Linked DNA regions of Yarrowia lipolytica. The protein of the gene in region 2 interacts with the protein of the main gene of each other region in a biochemical or structural test. Links are inferred from orthologs where the notes say so. Each region holds a gene or a part of one and is shown on either strand. Other genes may lie near its edges.

The links.
Region 1: the proteins of YALI1_C09923g (region 2) and YALI1_E39385g form a complex in vitro, tested with the Saccharomyces cerevisiae proteins (2 studies listed by BioGRID). The link is inferred for Yarrowia lipolytica from reciprocal best matches to the Saccharomyces cerevisiae genes SLA2 and CLC1.

What each region holds. Positions count from the first base shown.
Region 1 is NC_090774.1:3,936,527-3,939,888, forward strand, and holds YALI1_E39385g (uncharacterized protein), read left to right. Parts: upstream 1-1,958; coding exon 1,959-2,612; downstream 2,613-3,362. Other genes in the region: YALI1_E39378g (uncharacterized protein), read right to left, coding at 66-1,331; YALI1_E39395g (uncharacterized protein), read left to right, coding at 2,963-3,362. UniProt on the Saccharomyces cerevisiae protein: Clathrin is the major protein of the polyhedral coat of coated pits and vesicles. In yeast, it is involved in the retention of proteins in an intracellular membrane compartment, presumably the trans-Golgi. The yeast light chain is important for cell growth.
Region 2 is NC_090772.1:988,684-994,313, forward strand, and holds YALI1_C09923g (uncharacterized protein), read right to left. Parts: upstream 3,702-5,630; coding exon 717-3,701; downstream 1-716. Other genes in the region: YALI1_C09885g (uncharacterized protein), read left to right, coding at 1-324. UniProt on the Saccharomyces cerevisiae protein: Required for cellular morphogenesis and polarization of the cortical cytoskeleton. It might act in concert with proteins such as CDC42 and CDC43 to limit the region of cortical patch formation to the cortex of the bud.

The DNA.
Region 1 (3,362 bases), on a different chromosome or scaffold from region 2:
CAGTAAGTAGCTATATTAGAATTGGTTTGTATGTTACATTTGTGCTTGTGTCCTGTTTGGATTATTCACTCCTCACCCTCCAACTTTCTCTTTTTGGAGTCAGGAGCATCGGAGTCGGCATCGGAATCAGAGTCGTCTTCGTATTGAGGCACAGAAAAATCGTTGCTGGGAAGAGGCTGAGCCACATACCCCGACTCACCAGCAGTAACCACAGCTGGAAGGGGCTCGTAAGAGTCTGACTCATCCTCCTCGTCTGCGATTGAGAATGGCAGCTTTGTAGACTCAGGCTCGCTTGGAGCAGGTTCCGAAGCGGGTTGAGGAACGTAATCGTCGTTCTCTTCCTCCTCAGGATGAGCCTGCTCAACTGACGCACCGTTAGTATCTTGAACAAGACTGGAGACCTCCTTTTGAGCATCTTGGATTTCCTTCTTCATCTTCTCGAACATAGTCATGTTGTGTTTATCCTCTTCAAGGAGAGACGCCTGCTTGTTCTTGAGAGTCAGCAGAGCACTATCAATCTCGCTGCGCAGCTTCTGGTTGGCAGAAATGTCTGTGATAGTCTTGTTTACTGTTTCAAGAAGAGTAGCAAGAGCTTGCGAATCCCGTGACTTCTGACTGGACTCAAGCTTGCTCTTGGTCTCAGTGACGGTCGTAGTTTTAGTCACCTTTCCGAGCAGAGTGTTGAGCTCCTGCAACTCGGATCGAACTGACGGTGCTGCCGTTGAGCCACCCAGATCTGCAAAGCCAGTTCCTCCAATGCCACCCAATCCGGACCCTCCGATTCCTCCAAGACCTGAGCCTCCGATTCCTCCTAAGCCAGATCCCCCAATTCCCCCTAGACCGCCAAGTCCCGATCCACCAATGCCTCCGAGTCCTGTACCTCCAATTGAACTGCCTCCAAGGGCATCTGATCCGGTGGGCCCTTCGCTGCTGTCAAGCTGTCTTGTCTTGCTATTGATCTCCTCGATTACGTCGGGTCTGAAGACCTGTCGCTGTTCCCAGACCTCCACCACTCGCTTGATTTTGTTCCGGAGATCGGTGTTGCCCTCGCGGTAGGTGGATACTATTCCGTCCACAATGACAGTGGAAAACGCCTCGATGAATTCGTCTCTCTTCTTGGCCTTGGCCTGCTGGACCACATCGTTAGCGAGGTAGATCATAGCCAGTTTTCGCTTGAGAGGAATGTTTCGAATGTAGTCGTACCAGGTCTGTGCGATGGGTCCGCAAGCTCGTCGGTGGAACTGGATCCATTGAGACACCGAGACAATTGAGTCCTGGGTCTCATTGAGTGCCGACAGCTTCGACATGAAAGAGTCCACTGAGAAAGACATGTGGTGTTGTGTTGAATAGGATGAGATATGAAGTGATGATGCTTGCTAAAAGCCCCTGTGGATCTGTGTGTGTGTGTGTGTGTGTCAGTAACGTTCCTGTTGTCGGTTACGGTGTAAAAACAGGTGTGTCGCTTTTCTGGTTGTCTCCAGACAGTAAAAGCGGTCGCTAAAATGATTGTTCTGGAGAATTGCAGCAAACTGCAAGTCGGTTTTTAGGCCTTTCGTAACTTATTTACGTTGTTCTGCATAGTCCTTGTCTGACCAACTAATTAAAGTACAATTTCAACAAATATTTGTACGATGTTGCCATTGGGACTACTGTACATTTTGTACGTACAGTAATCCAAAGAAGGCTGGTCATTGACTGTGCCTGAGTACAGTCAGAACGGGGGCTCCAGAGATTGTGTGGGGCTACTGGAAATGTAGGGATAATGAATTGGTCGCATTGATCGGATTAATTTCAAAAAAAACAAAAACAATTCACTTCCATACGTGATTTTCCTCCTCGCACAACCACAGCCACCTTATCAACATTTTAGACTTTCATGACACGTGACGTCAATAAGCTCCACATCATCACCTCCCAAGATTCATCACCCAAATAACGCAACGTCACACACATCAACAATGGCTGACAAATTCCCCGCTCTCGAAGATATTGACGATCTCCCTCAGGATGTCGAAGTCGATGTCGACATCAAGGACACCCACGCCGACGAGGATGACTTCAAGAAGTCGTTCCCTTCCCTGGAGGACGAGGAGAACGATCTCACCGAGAACGCATTCAAGGAGGACTTCCCCGCCCTCGAGGAGGAGACACAGGCTACCACCGGCAACGTTGTTACTGCTGAGGCTACCGAGGATTCCTCTCCCGTCGATGGCCTTGAGACCTCCGTCAAGAGCCTGAACCTGTCCGAGTCCACCGCTATCAAGGAGTGGAAGGAGCGACAGCAGCTGGAGATTGAGCGACGAGACCAGCAGGCCGAGGCTAAGCGAAAGGAGACCATTGAGAAGGCCCAGAAGGCCATTGACGACTTTTACGAGAACTACAACTCCAAGCGTGATGAGGGCGTCAAGTCCACTCAGGAGGCCGCCAAGGAGTTCCTTGCAAGCATAGATGATACTTCCTCTTCCTCTGGCACCACCTGGGACCGAGCTCTGAAGCTGATTGATGACTCTGACACCGGAACCAAGGAGGGTTCTCGAGACAAGACTCGATTCCGAGAGATTCTTCTGTCTCTCAAGGGTGACGTCGACGCCCCTGGTGCCGCTGGTTACTAAATGTATGATAAGATAATGATTTAATGAAGTAACAATTAGTAATTTGTGTTGGTTGAAGTGTCACATTATGTGCTTTTGAGGTGCTGTACTAGTACACTACTTGTAGCTACTGCCACACACAAGTTCTGGCATCTTAATAGCCGTGTCAACTTGTCCATGTATACTGACACGTAAATCGAACGAACTCTACACTCAAATTCAGCACAAAAGCAGATGCAGCCAGAGTACGCGTTTTTCGGCTTTAAAAGATGTAGAATCAGCCCAGTAGCAGACATGATTTCTGTCACAGTCGTTTGGAATATCCCACCTAACAGTGTGCCAATCCTAGTCGTCCTGGACCTCAATCGGTCATGCATGAAAGCAGTGCATTGAGTAAGTTGTACAACTGGGACTGTAGTGTCGTATTCATCATCCTCAACATCTACACCACCATGCTGGTCTTGGTAACAACAGGTGGAACGGTGCCGTTTGAGGCTCTCATCGAGCTGGTACTCTCACATGAATCCATTACTACGCTTTCCCAGCTGGGATTCTCCAAAATGCGCGTTCAATACGGACGGGGCAATCGCCATATCTTCACAAAACATCACAAGGAAGGCGTCATGTCGATAACGGGGTTTGAGTACACCGATGATCTCGCAGGTGAAATGTCGAGGGCACATTTGGTTATTTCGCATGCAGGAACTGGATCTGTTTTGGATGCACTCAGAATAGGCAAACATCCAGTGGTTGTGGTGAACAGTAAATTGA
Region 2 (5,630 bases):
GCTCTAAAAGAAGCTGACAAGTTGCAGAGTCTGGATCACAACTGTGACGTCTTTCCTAAGAAAGTCCGGAATAGGTTAAGTAACGAGGTTACCGCCTATCTTGACTCTCTGTTCAAGATCTGTTCTCATCCAACCAGAACAGAGAGGAGAATTATTGGAGAGCATTGTGGAATCTCACTTCATCAGGTTACACAATGGTTCACCAATCGTCGGTTCAGAGAGCCCAAGACGGATTCCCCTGATGATGGATCAACTAGGTTCATACCTTCACCCATGACTAGTCCCGGGTCCATTGATGAGTGCAGCTTCCCTGAGAGCCCTTAGCATTTCTAATAAAGTGGTTACAGTGGGGTTTGTCTCATGCATGTCAACATAATTTGCATCGTAATAAATAGTGTGTGTCATAGTAACATAGAACTGTCGCATTGGACAGTTGTCATGTAACGAGTAAAGCATCGCAGAGCCTTCTTCATCATTCGATCACTAAAAATATCATTTCATTCATTTACCATACATGTTATACATACATCAGCCGCGCGTAGCTTAGTCCTCCTGGCCAGGAATGGACTCCTCCTCGTCCTGATGCAGGTAGGCGACCTTTCGCATCTGTCCAAGTCGCTTTCGGGCGCCCTGCAGATCGTTTTCGAGCTTGAGAATCTCGACCTGCTGTTCCATTTCGGTCGTCTTGAACTCGTGCTTGGAGAGGGCAGCGTAGTCTACCTTTTCGTCCAGCTCGCCAAACTTCTTGTTGAGAATTTCCTGCACCTGCTTAGGTTTCGGCAGGCGGAAGTAACCACCTTTGAACACTCTTCCAGCTTGTCCTGGGTCTTGGACATGAAGGTAGCCTTTACTCGAGAGGCAGCAACCAGCTGAGCAGTGGAAGCAGCGACGTTGTTGGAAGCCACAATGAGCTCCTCGAGACCAGAGGTTCGTCGGAGAGTGCCGTCGGCCTTCTCGATGAGAATGTTGGTCGATGCAGCTACACTCTTGGCCGCGGAAATAAGACCCTCGGTCCACTTGTTGTTCTTCTTGTAGAACTGTGCTCGAGAAGAAGTACCTCGTCCCTGGGCTACAATCTCGTTCTGGGCATCGGTGGCAGCTCGAATCAGCGCAGCAATGGCGTTGATGACGGCCTGGGCAGCCTGGATGGCAGCCTCGTGCAGCTGCAGGTCGGTGGTCGACTTGAGAGGGTCGGACTGGTTAAACTTGAGCAGATCGCCAAGCTTAGCAGAAGCAGCAGCAATGGCATCAGCAGCCTTGGCCATCTCTCGCTCAACGAGGTCGCCCAGATCACCAGACATGTTGATGTTGGTCTTGGGGGCCATTCGCTCGGCCAGCTTGGTGAGGTGCTGAAGAGCAGTCTGCACGTTCATGTTGAGAGTGATGACCCGCTCCATCTTGTCATCCAGAGGGAAATCCTCAATGATCTCAGACAGAAGACCAATAAAGTTTCGCTCTGTGGCCTCGGCAGACTCACGAGCAAAGTTGACAAGGGCGTCGGCAGAAGCATCGTCCTTGGCCAGACGAGTGAGACCCTTGGAGTTGGACAGAACATTCTCCACAGCAGTAGAGTAGATGTTGACGGTCTTGATGATCTCGGCGTAGTCGCCATCGGTTTCGTCGGCCAAGAAGTTGTTGAACGACGTGGCAAAGGCGGAAGCAGACTCGGACGCCTTCTCGATGACAGACAAGAGATACTCGGGAGTCGAGTTCTGGTTACCGGCCTGCATAGGCGACTCGAGCTCGAAGAGAGCGTCCTGAACACGCTGGGAACCGGACTCTAGAAGAGCATCAATGATAGAATGCAAAGCAGCCAGGGGAGTGGATCCACCGTTGCTGTTGTTGCCCTGCTGCTCCTGGTGCAGAGCCAGCGAGTTGAAGGCTTCGTTGAGAGCCTCGTACTCAATCTCCTTCTCTTCCAGTCGTCTCAACAGATCAGAGTCATCTCCTCGCTCGTCCAGAGCCCGCTGCTTCATCTTCAAAGCATTCTCAAGCTCTGAAAGCTCTCGGTTATGCTTCGACAAAAGAAGAGACAGATCAGCACCGGTAGATCGGTCCTTATCGGCCAGCTTGTCCTGGGCCATTCGAAGCTCTCGTTCCAGACGCTCCACGTCCTCCTTGTTGCCACCCTTGGCACGGTCAAGATCATATCGAGCTCGATCTCGCTCCTTGATGAGATCAGCAAGCTCAATGTTCTTGTGTCGCATGTCTCGCTCCAGCTTCTCAGCCTTCTCAATGGCTTCCTTAGCTGACGCAGCCTTCTGTTGGGTAGCCTTGAGCTTCTTGAGCAAGGCAAGATATTCCTCTCGCATGGACGAGTACCGTTTGGCCAGAGTCTCGTACTTTTGCCGCCACATGGTGATCTGCTGCTGAAGAGATTCAATCAGATCATCCTTGGCCTGGGCGCTCTGATGAGCAGTCTGCTGCAGCTGATTCAGCTCAGCCTCCAGAGCCTTTACTCGACCATCGTACTGCTCCAGCATGAGCTGATCCTGATCGTACTGACCTCGGAGAGCCAGAATGTCTCGCTCAAGCTCGGCCATTCGACCCTGGGCATGTCGGGCCATCTGGTCGGCCATTAGTTGTTCCTGAGCCCGCTGTTGCGCTTCCATCTGCTGTCGCTGCTGCATTTCAAACTGCTGCTGCTGCTGCATCTGCATCTGCCGGATGCGCTCCTCCTCCATGGCCTGTTGCTGCCGTAGCCGCTCCTGCTCGGCGTCGTACTGTTGCTGGGCGAGCAGCGCGTCCTGGGACCAAAAGTTCTCAATCGGCTGAGCCTCAGCAGGAATAGAGGGCGTAGGGGTCGCCACAGGCAAGGGAGCGGGCTCTGGAGACACAGATCGGGTCTCGGCCACGGACTTGGGTCGCTGGGGGAGTCCAGGTCCGTCCTCCTCTTCAAGCAGGTTGGGAGGGTTCTTGCCGAGCTGCGGGATAGTCACGATGGATCGCAGGTACTTGAGAGTAGAGCAATCGTAGTAAAAGTCTCTCAGGCGGTCGTGCTGCGAGTAGAATCGCTGCCGGAGAGACTCAAGAGCCTCGTCGTTACCAGTAGACACATGCATGGCTCGCAGCATGGAGATGACGAACCGGTAGATTCCGTACGACTCGGCAATCATGGGAACCAGAGACGAGATTTTGCACTCGTTGGATCGGGATCGCTGCAGCGACGAGAAGACAAGTCGCTGGAAGTCGTCCACTCCGTCCTGGAGGGTCATCAGGTTCATAATGGCCTCGTATCCCTCGTTGGGGTCGTTAACGGTTCGCAGAGAAATGTAATCCTCGTACTCAAACATTCCGTTGAAGGCCGGGTGGTACTTGTGGAAGGTGAGCTTCTGCATGAGGAACCGGACATACTCGGAGATGAGCTTGCCATAACCATGGTTGCCCTGGTTAGGACCAGTGTAGTTGTTTCCTCGAGCCAACGACTGGATGAAGTTGACATTGGCCTGGGCATCTCTCAGCGCCGATGGGTGGCCCTCCTGAAGCACCTTGTGGATGGTGATCAGGGCCTTGAAGACCATGACATCGTCGGTCTGCAGGGGCTGAATTCGAATGCCGTTCCAGAAGGCCTTGGACGACCGGTGGTCATGGGTGTACACAATGCATGCTCGCACGTGTTTCCGCTTGGGCGCAGACTCGTCTGTGTTGGTCGCCTTTTTGATGTTGACGTTGAGGTCCACTTCGGCTCTGTTGGAAGACATCGTAGAAGGGAGTCTGAACTAGTTGTTGAGTTTGTGTCTTTAGCGGCTGTGTCTGTGTCGGGTTCGTTCGTAGTCGCTGTGTCTGATTGCTTTTGTGTCTGCGTGACTCCTTCCTCGCTCAGATGAACAACTCCAAGTCCAAGTTCAGTAAAGCAAGTGACACCGGTGATAACGCATAGCCTCGTTATGCGGTGTTTTTATTGGGACAACTTTAATGTCACAGTGTTAAGTCCGAGTGAAATTTGAGGGTCTCTAGAGCTGAGGAGCAGAGAGCGAAAGTGGCAATATTGTTGCATTAATACGGACTTGCTGAACTTGTGCCATGTCAACTTCTGGGACTCTCCAACACCGAGATCAACAGAGTTTGCCACAATACGAGTACGAGCACATACTGACACGTCAAGGACATCTCCAATACACCTACATACATGAGGAGTAAAGACGGCTAGCACTCGTATCGATCTAACCGGCTTAGTAAGAACCCTAGAATAGCTCAATTGAGAACACAAAGTCTTTGGGAGTAATTGTGGTCCGAATAAGTCCCTGTATAACCACTTGGAGGACTTATCAGAGGGTTTTATATCATCCTAACCGCCCCCTCATGCTGATGCTGCATGAGATATTAAACGGGGAGTATGCAACCCGAGAACAGAACTGTGTGAGTGTTTGTGGGGAGTGTGTATGGGGTCACGTGATAGATACCAAGCGTCTCATGACGTGATAAATAAGGTCCGTCTATCGGTCTTTCTCTTACTCAGCAGCAAGCGCTTGCGAATGGCTTAGCTACGTGTCTCCACACTAAGACATGGGGTATGCATCTTTAGGTTGTGCCGTTTGGAATCTGGAGGTTTCGTGGGAGGGGTTTGGAGGGGAGGTTAGAAGTGGTATTGAGAAACTGAAGACGTAAAGGTGTTTATTGCAACTTTGTGGTTCCATTTCAGCTTTAAAAATTTCAATCTGGTGAGTATTGCGTCTTTTGGTAGACTTGTTCACCCCCCTAATTAGCGCACAACAATACGACACCTAGAGCTATTTCGAGAGACATTGAAAAAAGATTGGAGAGACTTAAAGAGATGGGTTTATGAAGTGTAACAGCCGTGGCTGGGTGGCGAGAATGGCAGTGATGACTAATTTTAGGGAATTAAGCAAAATGCCGTAATGCAGACATGTTTTGGAGGGTACATTAACTAGTTTTTGGGTCAATAAATACAGGTAATTTAGTTAACATAGTGGTTAGGTATTGGTTAAGCAAGATATGACAAAGGTATCACGTTCTTATAAAAAAAATATAAAAAAATATAAAAAAATATGGAGGTTTAGCTGACTTCGTTGTTAGATATTGGTTGAGCTGGAGATGATCTGGGAGAGGTTTTTGGGAAGCCTCGTGAACGCCATTTGACTGCTTGTTGAGAATTCACCAGTTCCCCTGATGTTAGTGGGTCTGGTTCCGTGTGATTCATGCCGTAGTGTATCCCTAACTGGATCTTTGGTCCATCTCAGCTAGATAGCTAAGCGTAAAGACATCATCGTACCGTGTCTAAAGTTCATGGGATGAGTCTACAGTAGATCAGCGGTGTTTTTCCGACGTCAGATTCACCTCAAACTAATCACTTGCATCAGTACAACCAGACCTTTAGTTTCATTACTCAGGCTTATGTAACTCACGCTATCGAGCAGTCTACAGCAATCGTCAAAGGTACAAGCGCCAAAATCAAGTCATATTCTGGAACAGTACGGCTCTCACTTCAGATTACCATCTCTTGCTCTCGTATATACGTTGCGCCACCAACTCCAGCCTCCGTTACCCCCAATATTGCAGCGTCACACTGGCGTTAATGGTGCATGGTATGGAGCAAGTGGAAACAGAGTAGAGGGCTTAGAGAGAGCTTAGATGGAGCTAACAACAGCGATAAGAGATATTAGACGAGT